4 linked regions of the Rhinolophus ferrumequinum genome follow. Each later gene encodes a partner of the first gene's protein in a complex. Links are inferred from orthologs where the notes say so. Each region holds a gene or a part of one and is shown in the gene's direction. Other genes may lie near its edges.

Region 1 (7,404 bases):
AAGTCCGGCTCAGAGGAGTCACCGGCCAGAGAAGGCTTTCAGGTCTCGACGTCTTCACACCCAGGAAGGCCTCGGGAGGTGAGGGACAGGAGGGGGACCCCCAACTAGCACTGCGAGGCAGGCAGCGTGCGTAACCCCCTGCGCGCTCCTTTCTGCGCCGCGGAGATACCACCTCCACCCGGACCCCAGAGCCGTGTCCCCGGGGTCCCCTCTTGCTGACCCCTGACGCGCGCTCCGCGGGAGCCCTGCACCCGAGGACCCTCCAAGTTGTCCAGGCCCGGTGCCGCCATCGGCCGCGACAAAGGGTCAAAGAGCCAGACGACCCCTCTGCGCGTGCCCCCCGCGACTCTCCGGGGGTCGCCGCTGCCCTGACCACGTCCACCCCGATGCCGCCGCTACCTTGTACTCTGGCGGTGCGTCCGGTTCGCGGACCGCCCTAAGCCTCAGCTCGTTCATGCTGGAGACTCTGGCGCGACGTCCCCGCGGCCGAGCAGCGCAGCCGCCGGAGCGGGCAGCTCAGCGCGGGCGCGCGCGGACTCTACTCGGCCGGCCCCGCCCCGCCTGAGCAGCTCACAGCTCCGCAGCGGCTCACGGGCCCCACTGCAGCCCACGGCCAGCCCTGGAGCTCGGCTGGACCCAGCACCGTCGCCGCCCTTTCACTAGGGCGGAGCACAATTGGCCTCTCCAGCCCCAGCCCGCTAGCTCCTTCTCTCCGGATGGCCCCCAGAGCGAACGCGCACGCGCACCGCCACCATCACGGCCCCGGAGATCCACCAATGGCGCGAATCCGCCAGGGAGGCGGGGCAGTGGGGGCAGGGCGGAGCGGAGTGGATAGGCCTGCATTGGACAGAAACGTGATGGGGCGGGAAAAGGCGTGCGCTTCCGAGGGATACTAGCCAATAGGAGCTCCGGCCTGACCGCGGATGGCCGGCGCTGGTACCTAGATCCTAGAATTAACGGGTTGCCTCACTCGGAGGCTCTAGCTTGGTTAGTGGTTGGCTTCCTGGTCTGTGCTTTGTGTCGTGGGTAGCCAGGCCTCTTCCCTCACGCATGTAAGTAGGCGCTAGTTAGGCCCTGAGTGGAAAGGCCTGAGGAGCCCAAGTGTGTCGTCACGTGATAAGGGATGTGAAACCCAAACTTAAGTCTGCGTTGCTTTGCCAAGTTGCCTCTACTACTTACTGAGCGTAAATTATGTGTTAGGTACTGAACCAAGTAATCGCTTTAATTTATGCCATTCAGTCTGCACAACGTTTGGCAGTGGGTATGATTTTCATTTTATAGATAAGATCTTCCGCGGTTTTTCACATTTGTTTTCCTTCTGGACTGTTGAAAGACCTTGTTTTTTGGACAGGAATGCTGCTTGCTTTGTTCACAGCCAGATTCCCCTATGTATCGGACACATCCTAAGTACTTGTTGAATGGATTTAAATCTTCTCGTAAAGGAAAATGATTTAACCGCGGTCTCACAGCTAGAAAATTCCCACTAAGAATCGGAACACTGATCTGTTTCTTACCAAAGCCCACACTAACCTATGTTTCTCAAGCATTGCCATCAGCTGTTCTTATTCTCTGCCTTGTAAGTGATGTAAAACATGTATGAAATGAGGTCCCTTCCTTTAAGCATATTGTAATTTAACAAGGAGAAAAACTTCCACACATAATGAGTTGCAGTTTCGTATAATCAATTTTGACCTGAACTGTGGGTTTTTGGGAAACTAGTGAGAATTCTTGATTTCTATAAGAATGTATTCCCAAGTTACAGTAATAGTGCTTCAAAGTGACAGTAAAATAGATGTGGAGGAACACAACTCGGTATGCTTTGTTTCCTGTTAACATTGCACAAATATTTGTATTTTTGTTTTGTTTTGAGAAGCAGACCACTCCCTTCAGGCCATAATTTATTTAAAGAAAACTTTGCTTTTGTGTTTTGTTTTAATGTTATTTTTAAAAGTAACATGCTGATGGTAATTTAAAAACTCTTTTAATCTGTTAAGGACTGTTGTGATAACCATTTTGACTGTCAGTGATCACTTCTTGATCTAAAGACCAGACACATCTTGGGTAAATTAAGCAAAGTTTATGACCTAAAGGACCTAGAAGGACTTCAACACAGAGAAAGCCACAAGGTCATCCTCTGAGACAGGTGGAGGTGTTAGTATTCAGATCCTCACCTGAAGGGTACATAATTGTGAAAGTTCACATCTGAGGAAGCATCACATCAGTCCTTCCAAACGCTCAGCTGTTCCTTTCAAATCCAGCCTAATATAAAAGAGGTTGGAAAACCAGTGCATGTAGATCAGTTTCAGAATGCACAGTATGTTTACTAGGGTAGATAACCCACTACAATTTAGCCTCAACAAACTTCTCATCCATTACATTCAGCCCTGCCAGGCTAACTAAACTCAGACCAAATACATTCCTGAAGTCAGGGTGTACTGTTTTGTTTTTTATTTTTTTAATTTAAATAAATTGAATACAACATTTTTAATAAAAAAATTTACAAATGGGTGACAGACACTTGGAAGAAATTACAGAGACAATAAAGTAGCACTCATCATCACCCTATACAATAGAGTATAATATTATATGGAAAAACAACAGTACCAGCAACTAAGTGGGAAACTTAGTGTGGAGAAATATTAGGAATGCCTTAGCCAGTTAATTTTGTTTATATATATATTTTTAACGTACGTACAAGAGTAATATGTGATACAAATATTTTTAAAAATCTAAAAGTTATTTCAATAATTACAAAATAGAAATTCTAAATGATAAACACTGTGATAGTCTGACAATATTTTCTTTCTTGTGTTACATAAAGTAATGTTGTCTCTTACAATTGACGGTATCTTAAATTCAATGACATAGATAAATCTAAAAGAAATGCCAGGGAAAGGCAATATTTGAAGCCATAATGGTTGAGAATATTCTAGACTTGATGAAATACATGATCTTCTGATTAAAGAACACAAAATTCCCTGAACACAATAAATAAAACTAAATCCACAACCAGATACGTGGTAGAAAAACTAAAGAATTCTATAAACCATAATAAGATATCAAATGCAACTAAAGGGAAATGCTGTAATCAAAGTGAAAGAGAAATAACAAAGCAGGGAGAGAATACATGTAATAGGGAAATGATTACTGTAACATATAAAGTGCTTATTTTAATCAATAAGAAAATATTTTAATAAAAATATACAAACAATGAAATGGTCAAGAAATATATGAAAGATGTTCAATCTGTAATACTCAATATGCAAAGTGAAATTTTCACATAAACGAGCACAGATTAAAGTCAAGATTGGTAATATCTATCGTTAGGAAAATTGAGGGAAATGAGCATACTCATAGTCTTGGCTAGAATATAAATTGCAATCCTTTAGAGGTCAATTTAGTAACATTAATCAAATACTTAATGTGTATGCAAATAATACTTCAAGGTGTTGATCTCATAAAATCACCTAAGTGCCCAAAGGTGTTTGTAAACACACACAAGAAATTGGCAAATTAGGTTACAAACATAAAATACAGGCATACCTCGTTTTATTGCTTGTGGCTTTATTGTGCTTCACAAGTGTTACAAATTAAAGGCAAAACCCGCCACCAGGAAAAATACCATGATTCTCTACTGCTATTACTCGCTTTATTGCGGTGGTCTGGAACCAAACCTGCAATATGTCCGAGGTATGCCTATATTATGCCGTTTTAAAAGGTACTTATATAGAAGACATTTATGTGGCACGAAATTATATATACAGGTACTTTATATTGCAGAAGTGTTAACGGTATGAACCTGCTTTTTTTTTAAAAAAAATGTGTATTTGTACAGAAAAAGCTAGAAAGCTGTATAGAGGAAACTATTGAGTGATGTGAGCCTTGCGTGTGTGGGGGTGGGTCTTAATAGCTGGTGGTGGGAAGCTGAGATAATTTTTTTGTAACTATACAACCCTTCATCGTTTGACTTTTAGGAGCGCGTCACTTCTATAACAGCCAAAATGTGCACATTTAAAGCAGCAGTTCTCCAGGCTACAGGCGGTTTTTCCACCCCCGTCCCCAGCATAGGTTGCACTTGTGTTTCACTTCCACGACTGGAAACTTTCTATCCTCAAAGCGGGAGGTTAAGGAAGTACCAAAAAGCTGGGACTCGACGACTCCCAGCCTGGACCTCACTGATGCCCGGGCATGTCCAGCGTTCAGTTGCTAGAGCCTGGCAAAAAGGCGGGGAGTCCGGCCCCGACTCCCTCTTGCCCAGCCCAGGAGGTGCAGCGTTCGCGCCCCGCCCCGTCCCTACATTTTCCAATGGATGTTTGGGGGCGGGCTTCGCGCAGAGCAGGCACACGATTGGCCGTAGAGTCTCTACGCCCAGGCAGTGGGCGGGTCAACGTGGTGACGTCTCCACGGGGCGCAGGGACGGAGAGCGCGCGCTAGCAGACGCGGTGGTATTAAACGGTTGCTGGCGCAGCGAGCTTGCCGTGAACTTCCTCGGTCGCCGGCTCTTACTGCTGTGTTCGCCTTCTCGCTCTCATCCCGTGAAGCCTAAACCCGCTACACTTCCTCTTTCCCTTAGCCTGTAGCCGCGTCGTTGCGACTCCGCCACCATGTTCGAGGCGCGCCTGGTCCAGGGCTCCATCCTGAAGAAGGTGCTGGAGGCGCTTAAGGACCTCATCAACGAGGCTTGCTGGGACATCAGCTCCAGCGGCGTGAACTTGCAGAGCATGGACTCATCCCATGTCTCCTTAGTGCAGCTCACCCTGCGCTCTGAGGGCTTCGACACGTACCGCTGCGACCGCAACCTGGCCATGGGTGTGAACCTCACTAGGTAAGCTTGGGGGCAGTGGGGAGCGGTGCACTCTTCCCCTCACCCCCAATTCTGGCTCTTGGCGGGAGCGCCTCTGAGCCGGGCCCTCTTTAGCTGGAGTGGGCCATCGGCGCCTTCTCATTGGCCTGCTATACCGGGAGGCGGGACCCACGGAACGCGCGGTTCCAAAAGCCCGCGCTGACAGCGGCGCGAACCGGCTTTTTCCGCGCCAAAGTCACAAAGCGGGTGGTGGCGGGAAAATGACGGGTTTCGCTGCCAAGCCAGGAAAACACTGTTCCAGAGCTCTTTGGTCATTAGGTGCCGGCGGCCTTGGATGAGAAACCGATTATGGTTGACTTTAGCCGCTTTATAACGCCCCCTAGTTGTATCCCCTTACTTAGGGACAATAGGTTATTTCCAGTCTTTTATAAAGAAAAGTAGTAGTGAGCACCCTCTTGGACTTGGAAAATCTCTCCAGGACAGTGGCTTTCAATTTTAGGTAGTTTTTAATGATCGTCGAGGCCCAATGATTTATTCACTCACTAAACGGATTTGAATTCAGAAAATACTGTTCTTTTGTTTCTATCCGGAAGTGAAATTGCTGGTGGTAGCTTTGTATTTTATAAATACTGGAAGATTGCACTCCAAAATGGCTGGACCGGTTTACACATCCTCCTGTAGTACGTTTACCTAACTTGCCAATTCATCAGACAGCCTAATGGGTCAAAATGGTAACTCCTTGTTTTAATTGCTTAGAAATCTAACGATCTTGAAAAGATGGTGTCGATTTTAAACCCTGTGTCTTCTCTGTTCTAGCATGTCCAAAATACTAAAGTGTGCCGGCAACGAAGACATCATTACACTAAGGGCTGAAGATAATGCGGACACGTTGGCATTAGTTTTTGAAGCTCCAAGTAGGTCATATTTTCCTACTGAGTTAGGCTGAAGAAAATTAAAATGCATTGTCAGTATTTCTCAAAGCTGGGAGAAGTTTAAGATAATGTTTGTGAGCTTGTAAAATTGACATCATAGTTATAAACTTCCATGCTTTTCTTTAACATTGGCTTTCTTTTGGTAGATCAAGAAAAGGTTTCAGACTATGAAATGAAGTTAATGGATTTAGATGTTGAACAACTTGGGATTCCAGTGAGTATGTTTCTGATTGAGTACACTGTACATGAGTTACATAAGATATATTAATATAATTAATTTAAAGCCTACTTCCTAACAATTATATATCTGCTGATGCATGGTGTAGAGTGGGGTTTTAGTATTTAGACTGACACATTTGTCTTTTATTAAACTACAGTACTCTAAAATAGATCATTGGTTGAATTCATTGTTGCCAAATGCATATTTGTATTTTTATTAACCTCCATGCATCTTTTTATTCCTAGAATGCTTGACTTTTGTTTAAGAGTAGATTTTAAACTATGGTGGCAGACATTTATTAAGGTTAGGTTTCGAAACATTAAAGGAGAGAAGTGTTGGAATGTTTATAATCCCTAGTACCATATTCTCTTGTTTTGGAAAGCAGATGTGCCTTCTTGCACCGTCATCATTCCTATGCCCTCTTGATTTAGTCCTGGAGGGTGATTCGGAGGGGCTTTGAGTAGTTGGAGTGTTAAGAAATCACACAATGAGTGACATTTCAACGTAATCAAAAAATCTTAAATTCTGAGTTCTTGATTAGGTGCTGATTCTTCAGAAAGTGAGGTTGCCAATTCTTTCATTTCCAGAAATTGACCTTTAAGTGTTTTTGCTTGTTTGTTTGTTTTCTAGGAACAAGAATATAGCTGTGTAGTAAAGATGCCTTCTGGTGAATTTGCACGTATATGCCGAGATCTCAGTCACATTGGAGATGCTATTGTAATTTCCTGTGCAAAGGACGGAGTGAAATTTTCTGCAAGTGGGGAACTTGGAAATGGAAATATTAAGTTGTCACAAACAAGTAATGTCGATAAAGAAGAGGAAGCTGTAAGTAATTCTTAAGTAGACAGAAAATACTTTGAAGAGAATTGTAAAACTGCTTAATATTAGGTTGTCTTAGTCTGTTTGGGCTGCTATAACAAAATGCCATAGACGAGTGGCTTATAAGCAATGGGAATTTATTTCCTAGCTCTGGAGGCTGGGAAGCTGGCAGATTCAGTGTCTAGTGAGGACCTACTTCTTAGTCCATAGACAGCAGCCTTGTCACCTGGTAGAAGAGGCAAGGGAGCTCTTTGGAGTCTCTTTTATAAGGGCACTAATCCTATTCATGAAGGCTCTATTCTCATGACCCTAAGCACCTCCCAAAGGCCCCACCTCCAAATGCGATCACATTGGGGATTTGGTTTTAACAGGAATGGTGGGAGAGACACGACAACACAAACATGCAGTCTATAGCAAGGTAATTGCTAAAATTAAAGAAAACTCTAAAGAATAATAGACAAAATGGCATTTCCAAGAAATTTGTGAGAAGTGAAAGGTACTGTTGAAATCTGCAAGTGATTTATAAGTGCCATCTACTTTCCAATTTGTGAGAAGGGAATGCAAATTCAGTGCTTCCTTTATAAACCACAGAACAATAAGTTTGTGTATCAAACCCAAGCTAGGTGGCT
Region 2 (7,599 bases), on another chromosome or scaffold:
TATGTTCTTCGTAGTATTATTTACAATAGCCAAGATATTGGCAACCTAAGTGCCCATCGAATAGATGACTGGATAAAGAATATGTGGTACCTATATACAATGGAATATTATTCAACTATAAAAAAGAATGAAATCTTACCATTTGTGACAACATGGATAGATCTAGGGGATATTATGCTAAGTGAAATAAGTCAGAAGAGAAAGAGAAATACCGTATGATTTCACTTACATGTTCACTAAAGAACAAAATAAATGAACAAAACAGAAACAGAGTCATAGATACAGAGAACAAACTGATCCCTGCCAGATGGGCGGGATGTGGGGGGGGGGGGGGCTGGGTGAAAAAGGTGAAGGGGTTAAGAAGTACAAAGTGATAAGTGATAGTTATAAAATAGTCACAGGGACAGCACAAAGAATATAGCCAATAATATTGTAATAACTACGTATGGTGGCAGGTGGGACTAGTTGTACCAGGGGGATCACTTTGTAAATTATATAAATGTCTAACCACTATGCTGTACACCTGAAAGTAATATAATATTGAATGTCAACTGTCAATTGAAAAATAAAAAATATTTTAAAAAAGTGTTTATTACTGTAACGTTTTCAAGAATGGAAAAAATAGGTGTTATCAACCCTCAGCTTGAGGAAATAAAATTTAACATGAACTCAAATGGGTATAATTAGATATTTTAAAGTACCACGACAAGAAAATCGCTTTTATTACTTGGCAAGAAGGCATGGCAATGCGTATGTTCTGCATAGTATTTGAAAAAGCTTATTTCAATTTTATAACATTTTCTACTGCTGCTGCCATGTAAGGCTCCTTGAAGGAGCATCCAATTGTACTGGGTTTAGTAAGTTGGGAAGTCTGCCATAACATTATGTACCTCAGCTCACTATTTAGCATAAGGTGCAGCTGCCTTGAACCCTGGCCAGGCATTACTGTCAGAAGACTTCATAATAGAACTGTTTTCATGCTAACTTTAAATTGGCCTAACTGCACACACTCCAAGGACACTATTACGTGTGAAGACACAGTACACTTTCACAAGTGCCTAGGAGGAGAAAAGAACAATGTGTCTGGCATGTTGACTCACAGAAAAGAAACACACAAGTATTGATAAATAATGAAAATTAAAAACCAACAAAACTGTAGTCAGCCTATGGCCATAACGAATTCAAATTACTTTCTTAATCTTAACGCTGTATTAAAGGAATTCAGCTGTTGCTTGCTGGTAGCCTGGTAGCACAATGAACATGGGTAGTAATTATATAAACTAGATCTTGAAACATATTAAATTTAAAAGATATTACAATAACTTATCACTACAATAATTTGCCACTTTTATTCCAAGTAATCCATTTGAAATATATTCCACAAACACTTGCATTTTAATGCCAAAAACAAAAAAAGTCTTCTATAAAATAAGCAACTTGTATATACCCAGTTACCAATTTCCCATATAACTTTCACTCTAAAAATGGCTAGCTGCAAACTGCACTTACTTTGTCACTATATACAAGTAAATAAAAACCCCCACAGTACTCCTCACTAATGGAACATGTGCTGAGGTTGCAACACCTGTGCATGTGAATAAAAAACTTACTCTCTTAATATGCATGAAATATTTAATCATAATATATATAATCTTAACATGCATAGTTAATATTTAATCATACATACTGTGTTAGGCACAATGCTAGGGGCTTTACATACTTCATCTCTAAGCTTCACAACTCCATGAGTTAAGCGTTATCATCCCCATTTTACAGATGAGGAAACTGAACTGAAACTCATAGTGGGGTCCTACAGCTAACAAGAGAACGTAGGAACCTCCTATATTTCTAGCAGCGCTTTCTGTATATAAAGCACATGAGATCTGACAGCATCAATTATATAATTTATCAATTAACCAACAAGTTTTAGAAAATGCTATGCTGAGTGATATATGCTATGGATACTCTGTGGGGAGCTGAGGGGCCTTACCTTTCAGGGTTATGCATTCCATTTTAAGAATTACAACACACCAAGTTTCTTCCAGGTCCTGAATCGATGGATCTATGCCAATTCTGTATCTAGGTGTGTTATTTATGGAATATGGAAGATCATTAAGCCAGTATAGTCTCATCAGACCCTGAAGAAAGGGTCTAACATTCGGCAAAACCCAATGACTTCTTCAGAACACAAGTTCTGATTCTGGTAACAAGCCTCAGAAGTGGGCCTAGAATTTTATCTGATTACAGGCATGTCTACTATAAATTACAGAATCTATTATTTAAGGACATAGTCACCTCGCCAAAACAGCAAGGAGTGAAAAAATGAGGGCTCAGTATGTGAGGAATAAGCATTTGCTTTTAAATATGGCCAAATTTTGTTAAGGTGTGTCCAGTTACTCTAGTCATACTGGTATCCTACCATATTAAATATTACATAGATAGACCTTACTGTTTCAAATATAAAAAGGTGGGCTTTCAGTTGACTTTTATCATCTTTTCATTACTTGAAAGTTCTTGTAATCAATGACATTTAAGCTAAAAACAAAGGCTTTCTTCAGAATTATAATCAGGCAAACTGTAATCTGGGAGATACATATACACATTTTTTTTTCCTGGAAAATCTTATTAGAATAATCATCTGCTATTTACTAAGCCTTACTGTTTTAGAAAGCATTTCACCTTTTACTTAGTTGACTTGCTGTCCCAGGACAATTATACGCGGGGCATGCTACCCTCAAAAATGGAAGTTTCTACATAAAAAAAGCTAGCTCAAACAACAGATGCACTCTCCTCTGCACCTTGCAACAACAAAAAAGAGAACAACGACAAGAAACTTCAAATACACAAGGGCTTTGGAGGGCAGCCTAAGACTCAACCATAAAGTGTGTAAATCTGATTCCCGGAGTCCGTGGCACTGACAGTCATTCAACTTTCTTTTAAAATTTCCCATTGTGTTTTTCTGGTACACAGGCAAGATGTACCTACATTTCACCAACCGACGGAACGCCTTATTTCCTTTCTAAAAATTCTCCCGGTGCAAGGCCGGGGACCACGGTCGTGGGGTGGCCGGGGAGTTCGAGGCAGCGGCGCCAGCCACCCTAGAGAGCACAACCACGCACCGCACCCGTCCCTGGCAGGCCTGCTGTGGCTGGTTCCCGAGTCCCTGGGGCTGCAAGGGCAGCAGCAGCCATGGCAGGGACTCGGGAACCTTTCCCCTGCCTCCTCCGCTAGGCCTCCAGGGGTTTGCTTTTCACATGGCCCCCGTGTGGGGGCGGTGGGCACAAGGTAGGGGATGCAGCTGCAGCCGCAGCGACGGGCCAGGAGAGCCGGACTCCCTCGGAACCCGACCTCCCCACGGGCTGGCAGTAGCAGGAGAACCTCGGCGGGGCCCTGGCTGGAGCGCCGACGGCTCGGAGGAGAAGGCCACCTTCTCACACACCACATCTCTCCCCTGCCTGCCTCCTTCTCCGTTAGCGCTACCGGTTGGAGGGCGGGGGAGGGGAGCGAGGCGCGTTATTCCCGGGGAGCTGGAGAGGGGGAGGGGAGGGCATCTCTTACCCGCGTTACTGAGGAGGAGGAGGAGGCGGCTGGAGTGCGGCGCAGCGGGGCGACGGCGGGGCTGGGTGGGTGCAAGTACGAGTCTTACGAAAGGGAATTAACCCCATCACCAGCCCGGACACCGGCTCCAGCGGCGGCCGGGGCTGGCAGAATCCCGCCCCTTCCCACCACGCACTAGCCCCACCTTTTCGTTCTCTTTGAGGGGCAGTCGACAAATCATAGGCTGTACGTTCTCGGAGTGACATGAGGATCATCCAATCACACCTGGACATACTGCCTTCTCTCCACCCCTTTATCTCCTCTCGGGCCGCGGGAGAGCCATGCCAAGTCTTCCTCCACCCTCAAGGGAAAAAGAACCAATCGGTGGTTAGTAACCGCCCTTGAAGGACGCAAAGGGCAACCAATGGGAAAACTAAGAGGACAGCCATTTTGCCCACTTGTAAAAGAGCCACCTTTTCCCACGAGTTGGAGCCTAAGGTAGGGGAGTTCTGGGAGTTTTTACTGAATTGGAGATATTAGAAAGACAACCATATTTCTTCAAGGAATATTTGTAATGCTTTGTAGGAATAAAAGAAAATTTTCATCCTTCATGTGCTGGGAAGTCAGGAATGCTGTTTAAAAACGTGGCTCCTCCCCTTAGCGGTAACGGGTTCTAAGCCCAACACCTGGTTTCTCCAGCCTCAGTGGGGTGGAAGGCGGGGTGATTGCCCTCTTTGGACGGGGGCGGACTACATTTCCCAGCGTGCTTTGCCCCTGTCCATATCCTTTCCTCCGTTTACTCCCTGCGGTTCCTGACGGTAATTGTAGTTCCTCAGAGGTACCCATGCTGCCCCGCTGGCCAATGAAAAGGGACAAACTTTTGAATGATTTGGAGTTCAGGGTGGAGAACTAGTTGTTACGAGGCTGTGGTGAATTCTTTTCGCCACCCTAACAGAAGAGATAAGGATAGAAGAGGAAGGTGATCAGAGAAGAGTTTTCTCAGAACGTAAGGGTTTTGTAATCCTGGTATTTGAACTCTTACTTTCGGTGTGTGTCTCTTAAGTCACTTCCGCTTTGGGGCGGACACCAGCCAAACCTGTGGCGGGAGTTGGAGATTCTTCAGCGAATACACCAGGTGTGGCCGTCTGGGAGTGGCGTGGGGGGCAAGTCTGTATTTTCTTGCGTGAGAGATAGGTAGTTGAACGGAATGTAATTGCATTTTAGGAAAGAGTGAAATGGGATGGGGTGGTTCCCAAGTCCATAATGCCGTTCTCCACCCCAAGTCTTCAATCCCAGAGTCTAATTTTTTTCTTGTGTTTTGACTTGCTCACTATTAGATTGCACCCACGTATTTGTAGAGGGTGCCTCTAATACCTTTACCCCTGTCGGTGCGTGAAGCATGGCTTCATGTCGTCACTGACTGTATACAACGGGCTCTCAAGTTCTGAGCTAATTCCTCCCACTTTTACAGACTTATAAAGGCTGGTTCCTAAGAGAAAAGCTACAGAAGGGCTCAGGTTTAATAATCAAGAATGGTGCCTTTCCCAGTCGACGACAGGTGCCAGCTATAATACACCGATGAATAAAGATCTCATTGAAATACTTAGGAGCCCATAGTCAAATACGTTTAGCCCAGTAGGCCCGGGTTCATGCCCCCGTCGGATGCAAAGTTGAGTGTATCTTTGCTGTTGGACGTTCCCTTTGAGGTGCCTTGGGAAACTCATTGAATAAAGGAGACGCAGGAGGAGTTATCAGAAAAGGTCTTTCTCCCTCAAGCCTAATGGCTTTCATTCTTAAACTTTTTCCCATCATTTGACTGAGACTTTTTCAGATAAATTCTATTTCAGTTTTTCCTATGGTGTCACTGAGACTTTTATAAATCATCTTGTAAATGTTTATTGAGCACTCACACTACATTGGGCACTATACCAGACTTTGGGGATACAGCAGTGCTAAAAAGACAGGCTCCTTGTCCAATATCAATGAGGAAGACAGGCCAAACAAAAATTAATGGCAACATTACTCGTTCTTTTAATCTGTCTCTAAATTAAGTCATTAGTCATGTTTTGTGTGTTTATTCCATCACCTCTTTCCATTCTACCTGTGAATTAGAAAGAGTGTATTTTCCCTTTTCATCAACATTATTTTTTTTACTGAAGCACTGATAAGTCTGTCCAATACTCATGAGTGGTGTTTTTGCACCAACTAGATGATACATTTTATATTCTAGTCCGGTTACATATGGGAATGTAACCGTACCTTTCAGCCAACAGTGTTGTGTGTCCGCCAAACAAAGAGTTGTCTCTTGTTCTTTAATTCAATTGAAGTTTTCTGTATAATTTAGCGGTATAGTCTTCTGTAGATACTTAGTTTTTTGTTGTTGTGAGCTTCTTCTAGTGTAAATCAATAAATAGTAATGATGGCCATCATTTTATTGAGTGTTTCGTCTGAGCCAGAAATGATGTGTTAGTGCTTTAAGTACATATTTTCTGTAATGTTCTGCAAGTATTGTTTCTTGATATTTTATGGTTAAAGAAAGTGGGGCTCAATGAAGTTCAGTAAGACTTTAAGGCCTCGATCAGTAAATTTTGGAGCTGAGATTCATATCCAAATATGTCTCATTCCATTCCTGCTTTTCAACTATTTATTAATCTCCCAAGATATGCCAGACATAGAGTGAAAGAGAAATGTAAAATTTCATCCCAGTATTCTGGAACCAAAGGTGGCAGTCACTTCCTTTTTTGAGCTATCCTTTGCCATAGATATAATACCTATTCTTTGTATTTGAAAACAGGAAAATATAAAAAATGAAAATAAATGTCATCTGTCATCCTATTACCCAGAGATACCACTACCGTATTTCCCTGAAACTAAGACCTAGCCGGACAATCAGCTCTAATGCGTCTTTTGGAGCAAAAATTAATATAAGACCCAGTATTATATTATATTATTCTGGGTCTTATAGTAAAATAAGACCGGGTCTCATTAATTTTTGCTCCAAAAAACGCATTAGAGCTGATTGTCCAGCTAGGTCTTATTTTTGAGGAAACACAGTATTAAATTTTAGTGAATATCCTTACAGTGTCTCTCTCTTAAAGGTACAGACATGTATCAATGGTATCATACTACTTTGCTCTTTTGTAAACCTTTTAAACTCAACAATAGGCTGTGGATATGACTGAGTAAATATCTGTTATCATTTTTTATGGCTATCTGGTATTTCATTGTATGCCTCTAACATTCAGTTCCTAAATTTGCTGTCTTAACCGTTTTTAAGTGAATACGAGGTCAGATAATTAAGTTTGCGAACTCATCCTAGAAAAAGTGCTAGGTACCTCATTGCTGAATATCATCACTACGGTCACCTTTGACGTACTCCCCTTGGGAAGCTATGCACAGATGCTAGCACCTAGTCCACCCTTCAAAGCAATTTTGGAACTCTTTTCTGGAATGGCCATCAGAGCTGTTGTCGTATTACCTTTGATGTCCTGAATGTCATCAGAATGTCTTCCTTTCATTATTTCCTTCCTCTTCAGGTAAAGAAAGATGTCATTGGGGGCCAGATCAGGTGAGTAGGGAGGATGTTCCAGTAGTTATTTGTTTACTGGCTAAAAACTCCCTCACAGACAGCGCTGTGTGAGCTGGTGTATTGTCATGATGCAAGAGCTGTGAATTGTTGGCGAAAAGTTCAGGTCGTCTAACTTTTTCACGCAGCCTTTTCAGCACGTCCAAATAGTAAACTTGGTTAACTGTTTGTCCAGTTGGTACAAATTCATAATAAATAACCCCTCTGATATCAAAAAAGGTTAGCAACATTGTCTCAACAAGTTCGCGAACTTAATTGTCACCCCTGGTACTACAGTTGTGTTAAGTATATGCACTTTGTCGTGCAACAGATTTCTGGAACTTTTTCATCTTGCAAAACTGAAACTGTACATATTGAACAACAACTCCCCTTTTACCCTCCCGCAGCTCCTGGCAATCACCATTCTACTTTCTATTTCTAAGAGTTTGACTATTTTAGATGCCTCATGTAAGTAGAATCATGCAGTATTATTTGTC
Region 3 (7,648 bases), on another chromosome or scaffold:
ATTTGACTGGCCTGCCTGTACTGATTACACTGGAGTAAGAAAACTAGTAGGCTGCTGAATCTGGTCCTCAGAATGACGTTAGCTGGTAGACATGTCTTTAAAGACTTTGAATTCATTGCCAAGTTTTAAAAATGAGGTTGCACATAAAACTCAAGATTTCTGGCTTTTTTGAAAACTTAAAGATCTGAAATGTCACTGAAGGTAGGAGAGTCTTGACCAAAGAAACGCTCTAGTATTGCAGGTCTGTGTTAAAGGCTAGTTTGAGTTTGATATAATTTCTGATAATAGCCACATACCCTGTTTATGACTTTCTCCAGCAATTTCTGGCTGCCTTTGGGCACACATGACTAGAACAGAACCTTGGATGAGAATTTCAAGTACTGGTAAGAAAGTAAATGAAGTTAATAAATTGAGAAACCATGAAATGTAAACTGGATACAGAAGTAAAGACAGGAAGGAACTGCTAAGTAGGGGAAAGTAGAGAGATAAATATACCGGGGTGTGAATGAAGATAAAGAATGATCAAAATAGCATTAATCAAAATGATAATGACGATGCATATTAAGTCCTTATAGTGTGCCTGACACTCTACTTTACATGTATTAAAGCCTCACTTTATAATCACAAAAGTTAGGAAGTATTATCCCTATTTTAAAAATGAAGATACAGGCAAAGAGCAGTTAAGCAACTTGCCTAAGAAACAACAGCTAACAAATGGCAGAGATGGGGTTCAAATCCTGGGAATCTGGCTCTGGAACCTACGGCCCCTACCATTATGCTATGGCCCTTACCATTATGCTAAAATGTTCACCTATCAAGCAACTAGGACAGAGGTTAAGATTAAGGAATGGGGTATCTGAATTCGTGATTTCAGAGTGGTGTAATTCTGAGGGATCACAAATTCCAGGAAACTGAATAACATAAATTATGGTAAACTTGGGGTTTGTGATGCACCTTAATCAAGTTTCCAAAGTAGCACACATTTCCAGGTATATATCAGTCAGGGTTCTTAGCTGTAAGCAACAGAACCTAACTCGGGCTGATTTGGCAGAAAATGAATTTATTAAAAGACTAGTAAACAGTTTCAAGGGTAAATTTCTAATAACACCAAATACCACACTGCCAAACTGACTAGATGGGGGAAAACTGTTGTTGCCAGGGAACACCAGATGCTACAAGGAGCTCTGCTGTCATCTAGGAACGTAGCCATTGCTGCCGGTACCGTATACTAGAGACACTACAGCCACCACTGCTGCCAGCCCAGGGAACAGCGAGTGTACTCATCAAACCGGCTTTCTTGCATCTCTGAACTTAAATCGCAGAGCCTGGAGGAGGCCTGTCTGATTGGCAGGGCATAAGTTCACATCCAGCGCTCTAGCAAGGGAAACTAGTGAGTTTTTGCTTCCATTTTGGTGAGACAGGGCTCATGACGCGGACCATTCCTCAAGCACAGGAAGAGTGCTCACAAGATGCTAAAATGCTACCATCCACGTGACCAATATCCACTTACAAACACTGGTAATTCACACCACCAAACAAGCACATTTTAGAGGACTCTGTTATATACATTGCTTTACCTAAGTGGTGAAAATTATTCAAAGTGGAATCGTAACACCTATACATCAAGTCTATTCACTACTAAAAGCGAGGAGGAGGGGGCGGATACAAACACAAGCATGCGCCACACATTATAAAGTAACCTAACAACTTATAGCTCAATAAATTGTTAATGGCAAAGCCTCAATAAATTACATTAAAAAGCAGGAATAGAAACAACTGAAATGATAGTCAACTCAACTGATGATGCATTAATAATAAACCATCCTTACCCCAAATTTCAGAAGTTGTCTGTAAATACCATGTATGATGGCATGTATGCCAGTGTGCAGCATGTACATAGAATATGATTTGTAATCATAAACAAATTAATTTTATTTTATGAATACCAACTTTTAGGAATACTGAATAACTCACTTTGTAAGTTATAAGACAGTAGCTTTTAGCCATACATGAAAACGAGTCCACGGATTTCAGTAAGAACTGGAGAAAGGCCTTGGGTTTTGGGGTCAGTCCATGGCCTATCAAGGGATCACCAACCAGGTCCTTCCTAATGCTGGTTTTTCTGTGGCACTGAGTTGTTAAGAGTCTGACCTAAGGCTCAATCCTACATGATCTTATAGGTCCACTTCTCAACACTGTCAGACTAAATTTGGTCTGAGAAAGAATTTGATTGGCTCACTGTGGGTCATATGTCCACTTCTGAATCAATCAGTTAAGGCATGGAATTGGTCACGTGGTGTAAACTTGGCTGCAAAGGTCTCTCTCTCTAGTAGGGGAACTTGTAGCCTTCTGACACTATGACATTTGGCTCACAAAATAGAAATACTTTAACAAGTAAGGATGAGATGGCTCAATATTTGAAACACTAAACTATCTTCTAATGCACTGGCTATTTCTGTTATCTAATTTCTTAACAACTTTAAAAGGTACAGCATAATGAGTGAAAAAGAACAAGTTTTGTTCTTGTCTTGTTCAAATTATCTTTCTGAGCCTGAGACTCATCTTGTGAAATACCCAGGGCACTGCTGGGAGGACTGAACACAGTCACTTACTTAGTATCTAGGACTGACACCTGTTTACAGTTAAACACTCAATAGCCATCCATTTATTTATTTAAGGAAAATTTGTGCTATTTTTTTTTTTACAATTGCAAATTTTTAGTAATTAAACTAATACAGATTACTCATTTCTTCAGAGTCCCATCCTGATCTCTGTTCCATAACCATTGTCCTACTGGCCTTAGGGGACAAGCCCACCTGGACCAGAGTGGTAGAAAAATGTCTGTAGAATTGGTAGGAATATTAGCTATCAGGACATGAAACTGTCACTGGGGAATAAGCAAGGAATGATCAGAATGGGGAGGAAAAGATTATGTAGTGTTTAAAAAACACATTTAATGTTTTAATTTTATATTTCAGAGGATAAAAGCCCTATAGCTTTGGTAAAAGAAAGTTCACATCATCTTCTTGGTTGATGGAGATGTACTAAACATTTTGTGACTCAACCAAAGGAATAACACATTGGAGTGTTGACATTTTTATGTTGATCAAACGATCTTAAAAGGCTTTTATAAAAGTCTGTGAAAATCTTACCTAGACCAACCCACTAGAAATGTTTACAGGTTAAAAAAGAAACAAAACAAAACAAAAATTCCCCCCAAAGTTAAGAGTGTCCAAGCCAAGAAGCTGGGAAATGGCTCAAAGTGGATTTAAATTAGACAGATTCTTCTAACCTGTAGTCCAGTTCTCAATACATTATAGAACGGCTACGATTAATCAAGATTTAACTGTATCCCAGATAACAAAATGTTTTCTCCATTCAATAAAAATCGTTGAAGTACACTGAAACAAAGGATTCATTTTAATAGTTGAGTTCTTTACTGACAAATATCTGCCCTTGCCTGCCATATCCATATCTAAGAAGGCATATCTCTTTAGCATTTAAGAAAGGCTTCTTTTGCATATCACTGTATCACTTACTATTTACAACAGTCTTGCCAGCTCAATGGTATTGTACCCACTTTGCAGACAAAAATACCGAGGTTGGGTGAAGTCAGGTGACTTGTACATGATTATGAAATTAGTGAAACTGAAATTCAACTCATTCTAATTTCAAAGTTCCTTCAGCTATACCAAGCTGCCTCTCACCCCTCCACACCCTTACCCGCCCCGCTTAAGGAAACAACTGGTGGAATTCATCTGCAGGAAAATTAGCAGAGGTTACGCTTTACGGATGGTCTTGGCTATTTAACCTGCCTGGTAAGACGCACGTAACAGAGTTACAGAAATCAAATAAATCGCTGTAAAGTCGGTGCAAAGTCGGTTTCAACTGAACGTTCCGAAGAATAATTGCACAATTTCAATCTAGCATTCCTCAAAACTGCTTGGAAAATCGGGGGACTGTGCCCCCCAGTGGTCAAAACAGGCCTATCAGTGGAGCTCGCTACTTCTTCAGCTGTTGCAAACCCAACTCCAGCAATGCTGCAATTTTCCTGCCAATTTCCCAAAGCGATAAAAACCCTGGACTCACCAAAAGCACAGGCGCCCGCCCACGCCCCCGCCCCCGCCCAGGGAAGCTTTGCGCATACGCCTTCCCGGCCTCTCCCGATGCTACCACCACCTGGTGGCGCCGCTTCCACCCCTCCATCTCACCCGCTCAGCCCGCTCTTTCGAATACCTTTGTCTAATTCCATAAGGGCAGAGTTAGCATCCAGCTCCTGTTCGCCATAGCCGGCATCTGCCAGGAAAGACTTAGTTGAGTTTGACGCCATGACCCGAACAGTTACTCGGTTAGCTTATTCAAAAAGATTGTAAACTCTGGCCCAGCACCGCCATCTTCTCCCACCACCTTCTCGCGGATTTTTCCTCCGCGCTCTGGCAAGCCGTGTTACGCATGCGCCCTAGTCACCCCGCGGTTCGCTAGCGCCTCAGCGGCCCCCCGCGCAGGCGCTCAGAGAGCTCTTGAACTCTAGGTTCCCGCGGCTAGGAGAAAAGAAGGCGGGGATTTGGAGGGGGAAGTGACTCGGCGGCGTCCGGACGCCGCTGCGGGAGCCAATCAGAGGGCGTGACGTCAGTTTGGCGGGGAGTTTGGTGGCCGGGGCTTACAGTGGCGGGAGTTGGAGGCTATAACTAGTCCTCTTCTGAGAGACGCGAGCTGCGACTTCTGTTGAACCTGGGGGCGATTTCAAGGCTTTTCCCTCAGTTGAGCCTTTTCCTCTGGTCCAGATGCTCTTCAATTCGGTGCTCCGCCAGCCCCAGTTTGGCGTCCCGAGAAATGGTGAGTAACGGCCCTAACTGCTGCTTGTTGCTGGCGGGATTCGCCTCCCCCGAAACAGCGCCTCGGACCGAGGCCGACTCCAGTTCTGTTTTCCAGCCCTCAAGTGAATTCGTGTTAGCAAAGACTACTGAAGGAAGCTGCACTTTCATGCCCTCCGTACACTTATAATCGTAGTTTGGACTTTTAAAATGTAATGTAGGCCGACGGAGGGAGGGAAGTTCACTTAAGTGGCCTTCCTTAACGGCTCATGTCTATATTACACTTTAACTGGAAAAAGCGTGCATGCGTGTGTGTGTGTACCCCTCAACAGCAATGTGAGATCGAGGAAACTCGTATTCGTGGATTAATTCGTTTGTTGTAGAACCTTATTGCGCCCTATTTGTTTTAAGTACACGAGTGTATCTGACCCGCTGTTCAGGAACTCAGTGAAGCAGAGAAGACAGAACTGCTTGTAGCATGGTCAAATTTTTTTCCTCCCTGATTACTACATACGCATAGAAATTCGAAATTATAGAGTGAAAAATACCTATAAACATATCCCCAGAGATGACCAGTGGTAAATCGATTGAAGTACATTTTTCCAAATGTTTTTCAATGCCAGAAGCAGTATGTATTGTTATTTATTTAAAAAAATGGTATCAAAATGTTTTGTTTTGTTTTTCTCTTTAACCGTGTAACTTGGGAATATTTTCATGTTAGTGTGTAGAAATCCAACTTATTCTCTACAGTTCTTGAGGTTCCTTTGGTTAAAACATTGGCAGTAAGAGTTTTGAGCTTAGGTTTGGGTATCATCAATCTAAGACTTCCTGGTAAGTTTCTGATGGGGAGTTACTACCCGGACTCATCTTGGATAGAAATTAAATTTCATTCTTTTAAAGATGACTAAGTCTACTTTCTCCTTGAAACCATGTGGAAAACCAAAAGAAAAGAATCTGGGAAAGAGACGTTTTATACTTAGGCACAGGTCTAGGAAAAGGATATTGAGACAGTAGTCTCTCAACTTCCTGCCCCAATCTAAAACTTTATACCATCCTTACCTACTTCCCTCTTAAATAATCTTTTTAAATTGTACTCTAAATACCCCTTTTTCTATCTCCCCTGGGACCTTGCTTGAATTAACTTCTCTATCCTCTGTGTCATGAGTGGCAATACAGCACAGTGTGTAAGAGCTCTGTCTTTGGAGGAAAAATTCCAGCTCCACTCTGTACTATCTGCGTGACCTGGGACAATCTATTGAGTCTTAATTTTTAAACACATTTTCTACTAACTCACCAATCTATCTGTCTACTTCTTCCCTTTCATTCATGAGTTCTCATCCATTGTTTAGTGTTAGGCTCTGAACTTCATTTATTCTTGTATATTATACACTGATCTTGATGAGACCATCTCCTTTTCCCTTCCATGTAGTTGTTCCATCCTAGGCCCCTAATCTCCTTCCACCTACTCCAATGGATCATCATAGCCTTAACCAGGGCTTCTTCCACTACTACGTGCAACCTTCCTTTCCCTAGACTTTACATCCATTCCTATGTTGTATGAGTTGTATGATTATCTTCACCCAAATGATCAGTCCCACAAGCATCTCGAACTCAAATACCAAAACCGAATGCAACTTTTCCCCAAACCTGCCATATTCATTAAACTAGTCTTCCCAGCCAGAAACCTGACGGTCAATCAAATTTCCTTCATTTTCCTCAAGATACACACCGAGTAAGTTTCCTTAAAATCTTTTGAATCTGCCCTTTCTATCCCCACTGATTTTGCCTCTTCACCATATCTAGGATCTATTCTATGTTTACCATTCCATTTCCTTGGGTTGAGCCCTAATGCCCTCTAGTCTGGACTATAACAAGTCTCCCAAATGGCCTCTTAGTTTCCCTCTCTCCAGTTTATATTCTCCACATCACTGCCAGTGATCTCTCTAAAATTGAAATCTGATTACTCTAACGTGTATTTTTTAATTGGTATCTGAAAGTTTTTATCATAAATTTAGACCAATATAAAGGATTTCATTTCTGGCCATAATGTGAATATTGACATTTTAAAATAAAAATACTACATTACTCTTTTAAAATATATCTAATAGAATGTAAATACTATAGTGATTTGATAACCACACCAATCATTTTTTAAAAGTCTGAACAAACTTTTAACTGTTAGATATTCTAAATAGTTGCTGTTTTTCCTTTGAATTTATTTCCACTTTATTTTTCCCAATAGAATGTATCCTAATGTAATTTGTTTTTAAGCTTGGAAAGTTATTCTATTGATCACCCTGTCATACTCCGTGTAAAAAAAATACATTTAAATTGATATTGTCTGTGATCATAAGGCTCTAAGTCTTAAAAGTTCTTCTGGATTGAATTATTGCAATTATTAGCATGCAATTAGTCAAAATAATATAGATTACTAATTTTGACAAATAATTATTAAGCAAAAAGTAAAATTTTAACAGAAGTATATCTTTTTCAAGTGATGGATTTGGGTGTTCACGATGCCTTTATTAAATATTAAAGGACGTATCCAATTGTCTCTCATTTGGGGTCCCAGAAGTTTTTATACCTTGGGTCAATGCAAGGTGCAAAATTGGGGCGTTGAAATGCCTTTCTTTTGAAAGTGGAAGAAAGGTAGTGATGAAGGGAGAGGAGAAAAAGAGAGCCTCACCTTTCAGGTGATCAGTTTTAGAAATGCATATACCTGGAGTTTGAGTATCAGGAAATTGATTCTCTGGAAACTCTTCTGTCCTCAGATACTCCTTGAAAAATCTGCGCGTAATCTTAAATCGTACATTGAGTGAATAATAGGCTTTCCA
Region 4 (8,004 bases), on another chromosome or scaffold:
AGTAGTTGGCTAGACTTTCTCAAGGCTTAGGCCTGGAATGGGCACAAGGTTACTTCTGTCCCATTCTGTTGGCTACTAGAGGTACAAGCCAAGGGGCGGCCAGATGGCTCAGTTGGTCAGAGCATGAGCTCTTAACAACAGGGTTGCCAGTTCAATTGCCACATGGGCCAGTGCGCTGCGCCCTCCACAACTAGGTTGAAGACATTAATCTGCCGCTGAGCTGCCAGAGGCACAGGCGGATGGCTCAGTTGGTTAGAGCGCGAGCTCTTAACAACAAGGTTGCTGGTTCAATTCCCGCATGGGATGGTGGGCTATGCCCCCTGCAACTAAGATTGAAAACGGCAACTGGACTTGGAGCTGAGCTGCGCCCTCCACAACTAGATTGAAGGACAACAACTTGGAGCTGATGGGCCCTGGAGAAATACACTGTTTCCCAATATTCCCCAATAAAATTTATATATATATATATATATATATATATATATATATATGGAGAGAGAGAGAGAGAGAGAGAGAGAGAGAGAGAGAGAGAGAGAGAGAGAGAGATACAAGCCAGACATGTTCAAGGGAGGCAACTACAAAAGAGTGTGAATAGTGAATACCCAGAGGTATAGTTCACTGGATGCCACAGACTTCCCAAATCATAGCCACGTGGATAAATCTTAGGTAGGTTATGCTGCAGTAACAAATAACCTCCACATTTCAGTGACTTTGCACAACAAAGGGTCACTTCTCTCTCACATACCTATTCCACATAGGTTGATGGGGTGGTCTGCTCCACACAGTCACTCAGGAACCCAGGCTGATGGAGGCTCCACCATGGTGAGTGGGCACCATCTGGAATATGAGGCATCACTTTTGCCACAGCCATGGAGGACAGAAAGAATGGAGAATTTCACTTGACCTCAGCCCTAAAGAGACAAATGTTACTTATACTAACATTTCTTTGGCTAGATCTAGTCACATGACCCTGCCTAACCTGCAAGAGGGTGCTGGGAAATGTAGAAGAGTACATAGAAAAATGGGTGAGCATTAATATGCTAAAATTATTGAAAATGAAGAAAAGTTCATAAAATTCAAGAGAGTATTTACTTTGAGGTAGGGGAGGAAGGGGTTAGGATAGGAGAAAAACTCACAGGAAGGTGTCAGTGATTTGTAAAGCCCAATCTCAGAGTGCAGGCTAAAAATGACACTTCCGTAAATATTCACTGAGCTCCAGCTGAGGCTGCTAGGTCTCAAGGGTGCAAAGATAAATAAAATATCAGCTCATCCCCTCCAGGATCCTAGCTCAGGGGATGTAGCAGGCACACAAAGCAAGCAGGCCAGCAAAACACAGTGGACTGGATTGCTCCCCAGGAACTCTAGGAGTCAGAGGGAGCCCTGAGGAGGACTCTCCACAAAGGTCATGTAAGTTGGACCATGAAGGATCAACAGGAGTTCAAGCAGTGGAGAAAGGAGTGGAGATAGCATAGGTTGGTCGGGAACACTCACTCCAGGAAGAGGGAACAATATGTGCACGCCCTTCACTCCTCAGGTGGCCTGTATTCAATGATTTCCTCACCACCTTCTAGTCCCTAACTGATCTGAGCAACTCATCCACACCATGCTGTGCCACCTAGAACCCCTTGTAGGACCCAGGCGCTCATTCTCCCCACTGGCTATGGGAAATATCGGCTGCTAATGCTTACAGTTGAGTCCTTTTTAGGAATTAGCCTCACATAAGGGAGCCCCCCCTTCCCCGGGTCATGCATCCCCCTACTCCAGGGGCAGTCATATCCAAATGACTTGTCAAAGCAGGACATAAAGGCCCTGCCCCCTTACTTCAATTCAGGAAACTGCAGGACCATCTTAGCTCCAGAGCTCCCTATTGGATCAGCTGAGGCCTCTCTAGGGCCTCCAGCCTCCATCACAGCCCAACTCCTCTCTCATCCCAATCCTGTTTCCTTTATACCTCCACAGGTGTTGATTGTGAATGCCCTTCTCAAGAAATATCCTTTAATCAAATCTCCACTTCAGAGTATGTTTTCTGGGAAACCTACCAAAGATACCACTAAAGTGTAAGTAATTACTCAATTTTAAGGAATGCCTTCCTTGGAGGTGTTTGAATAGCAATAATAATAACTAATATTCATAGAATGATTTCTATGTGCCAGGCACTATACTAAACACTTTTCCTATATGGTCTTACTTAATGAAGAACAGAGTTCATGCCAAAGGAATGAATTTCTCATGGTGAAATTTCAGGCTTAGGCAAGGTGAAATTTCTAGCTTAGGGAGGCTCGCTGGAAGTGTTTTGTAGCACAAATTCTCACACAAATTTCTCTCTCTCACTGTATGGTTAGTCCTGATTTTTGTATTGGCTGAGTCAAGTCCCCAGTGGGTCAGGGTTGGGGCTCCTGATCTCATCTCATTCTTCCTTTAAAAAAAAGCAAGCAAGGCTTCTTCTGCTTAGTAATGTAAAAATGTAATGTGTCTGTTCTGCCTCTTCTCTGGGGTCTCACTTCTTGGGAGCCAGTGTGGAGGTGAATTCCTCTGAAAGCTGACTTGGGACTCCCCGGGCCTTTTCTGAGAAACGGTGACTTTGTTCCCAGCACTTCCTCTCCCTTCCTGGGCAGCTCCTGCAACCACCATTGAGTCCTCTTCACATCCTCCTTTTTCAGGCTTGGGCTTTCGACCTTTTCTTTCTGTCATCACCTCCCTCCTGGGTGGGGGCTGACCTGGACCCTCTTGTCACTCAGACTGAGCCTTACCACCCTTCTCTAAGCCGCCAGCTTTCTGGGGAGCATGCTCAGGCAGCAAGCTGTGGCTCTGACAGGGCCCTCTGGCCCTCAGAAACAAGTCCCAACATGTTGAGGTCTGGCATAGAAGAGGCTGATGGCTGTTTTGTCCTTGTTGCTGCCTGCTTTGGAGGGAAAAGGGGGTAGTAGGAGACAGGAGACCCCCAGACCACAGGGAGAACTTGGTCTGAGTTTCTCTGAACAGAATATGTGGTTTGAAGCATATCCCTTGGCATTGGCCTGGGATCTCTCTCTCTCTCTCTCTCTCTCTCTCTCTCTCTCTCTCTCTCTCTCTCTCTCTCTCTCAGCAGATATCCTGTGTGACTTCTAACGACCTGCTCCTTTGCCATCTTCAGGGCAGAATTCCTCCTATAAGGACATGCTTGGCTACACATTCAAGTGTATGGTTGGAAACACTTAGGTGCTTTATAATATTTATTCAGTTCTGTTGTGGTGGTGAGCTAAAAGTTATAATAAAAAAAAACAACCTTCACTTCCCAACAAAAACAAAAGAAAGAATTATTTCATTGTGAAGTTCAGTACCACAAAACTTTAAGTAATTCAACACAAGCCTTCATTAAATTTTCCCCCCCAAAGTAAACAGTCAGACAATGTCAAGTCTATTTGAAGTGCCTGAAAGCTGAGGGGATTCAAGGCAGTAGGAGGATGTGCCTGTCTTCAGCTGGACATTTGACAGCCCAGCCTTTGGGTGGTGTGGGTATGCATGTGTTAGGGGGTAAAGGGAGGGTGGAGAAAGGAGCTGGGGAGGAGGGGGCAAGTCCTGGGGTCTTGGCCTTTTGGAGACCGTCCTGAGGTCAGACTACAATCCTGGCCTGACTCCAATAGCAGGCAGGCAAGGGGGTCTGGTGCTGTGCCCTCCCACCCCACCCGTGCTGCCATCCTGTCAGTGGAGGAGACAGAGGCTTGTCCTCCTGAGGTCAGCTGTGTTAGAGGGAGAAGACTAGGCATGCCCGGGCAGAGATTTCCAGACACTGAACAGCCCTAGATGTTAGTAATTAAAGTTGTTCCAAGCGTGGATTCTATTTTTTAGTAGAATTTCTGTTCAGAGTAACACTGTTCTCTGCAATTTTTAAAAAGCAGGAACTGCAAATGTATTAGGTGAAGGAAGGGAGCAAAAGTGGGGTGTCAGGGGGGCTAGGGTGTGGAGGTGGGTGGAAGTATGTGGGCACCTCACTTGCTTCTGTATCTGTCAGAAGCACCAGGGGGAACATTTCTAGAATTGTTCTTCATCAATATCACTTCAATAAGCTGTCTAAAAATGAGAAATCCTGGGTGTTTCCCTCATTCGAGAACTTCTGAAATAGAGAGGGCAACAAGCTGAGAGCTCTGGTTGGGAGGCAAAACACCATGGCCATTTCTTTGCTGTGTGATCTGAGTCAGGTCACTAAACTCTGAGCCTCAGTTTCCCCAGAAGTGTATGTGGGCTGTGTGGGGAGTATCCAAAAGAGAACTCATTCACCAACTCCTCCTCCCCTTCCTAGCCATCAAATCTGCTACAATCACAGAGGTTCCTTCTGTTGAGGCGAGAGAGGTGGGTATGGGGACTGAGGAGGAGAGTGCAAGGAGATTTATTCAATGCCGATTTTCCCCTTTTGCCCTGGAGACCAGGTTGGCCCTTTCTGAGAAGTGTGCCCAATTCCCTCCTTCCCTGAGGCGTTGCTAACCAACAACTTTGCATAGGTGTTGTTCTGTGAGCCTCAGTTTCCTCATCTGTGAAATGGAGGAAATCGAATCCGTTTCAGGCGTCCAAGAGGTTTTGTTGGGGTGTCTAGGTGCCCCAGGTGCTTGGGGAGAGGTGGTCTAATGAGGGATCTGTGGGAATAGTGGTGGTATAATGGGGCTTTTCTGGGAATTGCAAAGTGAGGCACATCATTTTTATTATTTATGGATTTTTATTTACTATTCATGTCATCCCTTGTGATCTTCTGGGGGCCAGAAACGGGGCTCATTCTAACAGTGCCATCGCCTCCTGGGGATTGCCAACTCACTTCCCAACTAAAAAAATCCACATTTGTGGCTCAGTTCTTGGGGTAAATGGTTAAGCGCACTAACCCGGGAGCGGAGTGCAGGGAGAAAGGCAGCGCCCTCCAGCAGCACGCAAGGTTGGCATCTGAGCCAGGCGTGGAGGAGGGGCCGGTGTCCCGGGGGAGGGCGGTCCCAGACGCAGAAGGCCGAGCAGCCCGCTAGTCCCGCCTCTGAATATTCTTTATAAAGGCTGCGGCGGACGGCACCCGCTGAGGTGTGAGCAGTTGCTGGAATCGGTGGCTTGGAGTTCCGGAGCCCGGCGCGGATTCCCCGAGACAGACACTTTCCGAGGTGAGGGAGCCGTGGTCGTCAAGGGCAGACCCCGGGCCGGCGGTTGGGAGCTGAGCTGAGCGTGTCCGCGTTTGTGTTCATGCAGGCGCGTGTGTGTCCGCGAAGGTGTCTGTGTGCTGTGTTCACAGGTGAATGACGTGCGTGGGTCTGTGCGTGGGTCTCGGTTTTGCTCCCATGGGTGTGTCTGGAAGTGCGTGTGTCACGGCAGTCGGGATGTGGCGGAGACTTCGGGCGGGGAGAGGTACAAGAGTACGAGGTATCCGCTACCACCCTCCCCTCGCGTTAAAGCTCAGCTGGGACGAGGAAAGGCGTGGACCCGGCGCGGATGGCTCGCGGCTTGGGATTGAAGCCCCTGTACGCGGAGGTGTCCGGCAGGGGAGGAACGAGGATCCGAGCAGGTTCATCTGGGATCCGCTCCCCGGCAGCTCTCGGATCCAATCTGTACCGTCCCCGCCCAGACCCCTGAGGTCTGGGTCCCCGGAGCCGTCGCGTCCGCCAACCGGCTGGGCTCTGAGATCAGAGTGGGCTGTGTCCCCAGCTCTTGGGAACAAGTCTAAACACATCCCTTAGGGTCAGCGAGGTGACTCACAGTGACAAGGAGACCCCGGGGAACGGGCCGGGTGAGGTCAGAACCCCGCCCGGGCTGGGGGACAGTGGCGCCCCAGAAGTCCCCTTCCCTGCCCTTCCGCGGTCTCTGTCCCACCCCCATCAGCATAGTGACCTATTTGGCTGGTACAAAATGTTCCCAAGGAAGCCGGGACACCGGGAGGTTCAGGATCGGGCGTCCGGTCCCCGCCCCGCGACGCGTCCTCCGGGATTTGGAGCCGCGGCCCGGCGCTGGGTGGGCTGCGCCAGCCTGCCACTCAGTTCAGGAAGCTCAGGACTCCCTCGCAGCTCTCCCACCACCGCCGGGAGACCCCGGCCCAGCCAGCGCTAGGGTTGGGCTGCGGGACTGCGGTCGGGAGCCGAACCCTGTTGTGCCGAGCGACTGGGTTGTAGGCGGGGTGGGGTCGCAACTTGGAGGGGTGAGGCTTCGGGGGCTTCGGGGGCACAACGCTGCTCACGGCCTGTGTCAGCTGCATCCAGCGTCTTGGGGCGCCCCGGACCTAGTCCAGAATTCCCTCTCCGAGGGCGACAGAGCTGAGCGGAGCAGGAGGGCGAGTCGCGCTTCGAGTGCCGCCGCCCAGCTCGGGCCACAGGGCGTCCGCCCTGTCCCCGGGCCCTTGGGGGGACAGCGCCCTCCTCTTGCAGAAAAAAATCTTGGAACTGGGTTTGGCACTTTAGGACGCCCAAGCACTTTAGGGAGTCCCTCCCTCTTTTTCTCCCTCCACGTCGCGTTTCGGGGAGGACTTTCGAGAGGTTTTGTTTTCTTTGCTCCCGTCTATTTTTATTTTCCAAAGATCTGACTCATCGGTGCTTTGGGCGTGGAGATAAGGTGGAGGGACCAGATCACTGCCCGCCTGTGCGTGCGTGAGAGGAGACAGGCGAGAGCGAGAGAGAGCGAGAGAGAGAGAGAGCGAGCGAGCGAGAGAGAGAGAGAGAGAGAGAGAGAGAGAGAGAGAGAGATGGCGGGACAGCGCGCGGTTTCCCAACAGTGGCGGGGGTTTCGGGAGGCCTGGCTGGGTCAGCGTGACGTGTTTGCGGCCCCCGGTCCCCCTCCACTCCCCCCTCCTCAGCTGAGGGTGACGCGCAGCCAGAGTGGAAGCGAAGTTTTGGCGGGCGGGGAGTACTTTGCAGGAAACTGACTCATCACAACTCACTGCCGCTGTCCAGGGCTCTGCCAACGCACCGCCCATCCGCGTGTGATTTCCTGGACACCAGCGCCCCCTTCCGATCCGAAGCGAATAGCACACGTGCCTTCCCGCGGAATACGGCTTCACCCGCCTTCCTTCCCGCGGCTACTCTTGGGAGTGATCCCAGGTCGCTCCCCCCGTCCCCCCCAAAGAGTACCCCATTGGTTGAACATTGTTTACTGAGTGCTTACTGTTTACTTGGGAATTAAAATTGGTTGAAGTCTAAAGCACGAAGGCCAACGAAGAAAGCTATTCTCAATCACTTGTTTGTAAAATAAGGGTTTGTGTTTGTGAGTTTCTTCTGAGCTGAGAGTTATAATAGGCAGGTTTTGATGGGAACCCTATGAGAGCCATAAGGGAAGGGATGGTAGGAGAGAGGGTCCTTACCTGGATTCTGGTCCCATCTTCAGCTCCTAGAAGACAAGGAATATCCAACTACCTGATAAAGTCCTAGGTGAGCTCCTCCTTGTACCAATGAGGCACTGAGACCCAGACTGTCCATTTCAGCATCCTGTGTATCCCCTCCTGACTAGCATCCCAAGAGTGCCCATTTGAGGGACTGCCAAACACTTGTTTAAATCTCCTTCAATTTGAATTAAGTTGATCTGGGGAGGAAAGGACCTATTACAGTTTCCAGGCGGGAATTCCCGCCCATTCTCAGGAATTTTTTTCGCTTTCCCATTACCTGAATCCTGAGAAAAGTTGGTCGGGAAATCGGGAAAATCGGCTCCTTGAACCCAGTAATACCCAAAATGGGAAATAAACATACTACTCACAATGTATCTTAGACATTTTTCCTATTTATCGCTACGGTTTCCAGATGGGAATTCCCACCCGTTCTCGGGAAATTACCCCACTTTTCCGTTCCCGAATCCTGAGAAAAGTTGGTCAGGAAATTGGGAAAATCGGCTCCTTGAACCTAGGTGGTTGGTAGTATCGGCCGTCACTTTGTGGGAACGATTCACTGTGGAGAACAGAAAACAGTTTATATCTCGGGATTCGGGAACAGGAAAGCGGGGGAAAAAAATGGCTGACAATGGGCGGGAATTCCCGCCTGGAAACCCTAGGGCCTATCAATCTACATTTTGAAAAAGCTC

The links.
Region 2: the proteins of PCNA (region 1) and ZRANB3 are in contact, whole or in part, in a crystal structure (PDB 5YD8), measured with the Homo sapiens proteins. The link is inferred for Rhinolophus ferrumequinum from reciprocal best matches to the Homo sapiens genes PCNA and ZRANB3. Residues at the interface, in NP_002583.1 of Homo sapiens: Met40, His44, Val45, Ser46, Leu47, Gln125, Leu126, Gly127, Ile128, Pro129, Asp232, Val233, Pro234, Tyr250, Leu251, Ala252, Pro253; in NP_115519.2 of Homo sapiens: Asp1071, Ile1072, Thr1073, Phe1075, Leu1076, Val1077.
Region 3: the proteins of PCNA (region 1) and DTL are in contact, whole or in part, in a crystal structure (PDB 6QC0), measured with the Homo sapiens proteins. The link is inferred for Rhinolophus ferrumequinum from reciprocal best matches to the Homo sapiens genes PCNA and DTL. Residues at the interface, in NP_002583.1 of Homo sapiens: Met40, Ser43, His44, Val45, Ser46, Leu47, Glu124, Gln125, Leu126, Gly127, Ile128, Pro129, Ala208, Tyr211, Asp232, Val233, Pro234, Tyr250, Leu251, Ala252, Pro253, Lys254, Ile255, Glu256; in NP_057532.4 of Homo sapiens: Ser705, Met706, Arg707, Lys708, Ile709, Cys710, Tyr712, Phe713, His714, Arg715.
Region 4: the proteins of PCNA (region 1) and CDKN1A are in contact, whole or in part, in a crystal structure (PDB 1AXC), measured with the Homo sapiens proteins. The link is inferred for Rhinolophus ferrumequinum from reciprocal best matches to the Homo sapiens genes PCNA and CDKN1A. Residues at the interface, in NP_002583.1 of Homo sapiens: Cys27, Asp29, Met40, Ser43, His44, Val45, Ser46, Leu47, Ala67, Met68, Gly69, Ala96, Asp97, Leu118, Met119, Asp120, Leu121, Asp122, Val123, Glu124, Gln125, Leu126, Gly127, Ile128, Pro129, Gln131, Tyr133, Ala208, Asp232, Val233; in NP_000380.1 of Homo sapiens: Arg143, Gln144, Thr145, Ser146, Met147, Thr148, Phe150, Tyr151, His152, Ser153, Lys154, Arg155, Arg156, Leu157, Ile158, Phe159, Ser160.

What each region holds. Positions count from the first base shown.
Region 1 is NC_046306.1:26,664,576-26,671,979, reverse strand, and holds the start of PCNA (proliferating cell nuclear antigen), read left to right. Parts: upstream 1-4,404; 5' UTR 4,405-4,604; coding exon 4,605-4,825; intron 4,826-5,620; coding exon 5,621-5,718; intron 5,719-5,882; coding exon 5,883-5,950; intron 5,951-6,586; coding exon 6,587-6,781; intron 6,782-7,404. Other genes in the region: CDS2 (phosphatidate cytidylyltransferase 2), read right to left, coding at 400-456. UniProt on the Homo sapiens protein: Auxiliary protein of DNA polymerase delta and epsilon, is involved in the control of eukaryotic DNA replication by increasing the polymerase's processibility during elongation of the leading strand.
Region 2 is NC_046291.1:82,811,255-82,818,853, forward strand, and holds the start of ZRANB3 (DNA annealing helicase and endonuclease ZRANB3), read left to right. Parts: upstream 1-4,598; 5' UTR 4,599-4,672; intron 4,673-7,520; exon of another isoform or gene 7,521-7,568; coding exon of another isoform or gene 7,569-7,570; intron 7,571-7,599. UniProt on the Homo sapiens protein: DNA annealing helicase and endonuclease required to maintain genome stability at stalled or collapsed replication forks by facilitating fork restart and limiting inappropriate recombination that could occur during template switching events.
Region 3 is NC_046305.1:20,167,442-20,175,089, reverse strand, and holds the start of DTL (denticleless protein homolog), read left to right. Parts: upstream 1-4,641; 5' UTR 4,642-4,784; coding exon 4,785-4,836; intron 4,837-7,648. Other genes in the region: INTS7 (integrator complex subunit 7), read right to left, coding at 4,237-4,330. UniProt on the Homo sapiens protein: Substrate-specific adapter of a DCX (DDB1-CUL4-X-box) E3 ubiquitin-protein ligase complex required for cell cycle control, DNA damage response and translesion DNA synthesis.
Region 4 is NC_046286.1:6,521,817-6,529,820, forward strand, and holds the start of CDKN1A (cyclin-dependent kinase inhibitor 1), read left to right. Parts: upstream 1-4,999; 5' UTR 5,000-5,114; intron 5,115-8,004. UniProt on the Homo sapiens protein: Plays an important role in controlling cell cycle progression and DNA damage-induced G2 arrest. Involved in p53/TP53 mediated inhibition of cellular proliferation in response to DNA damage.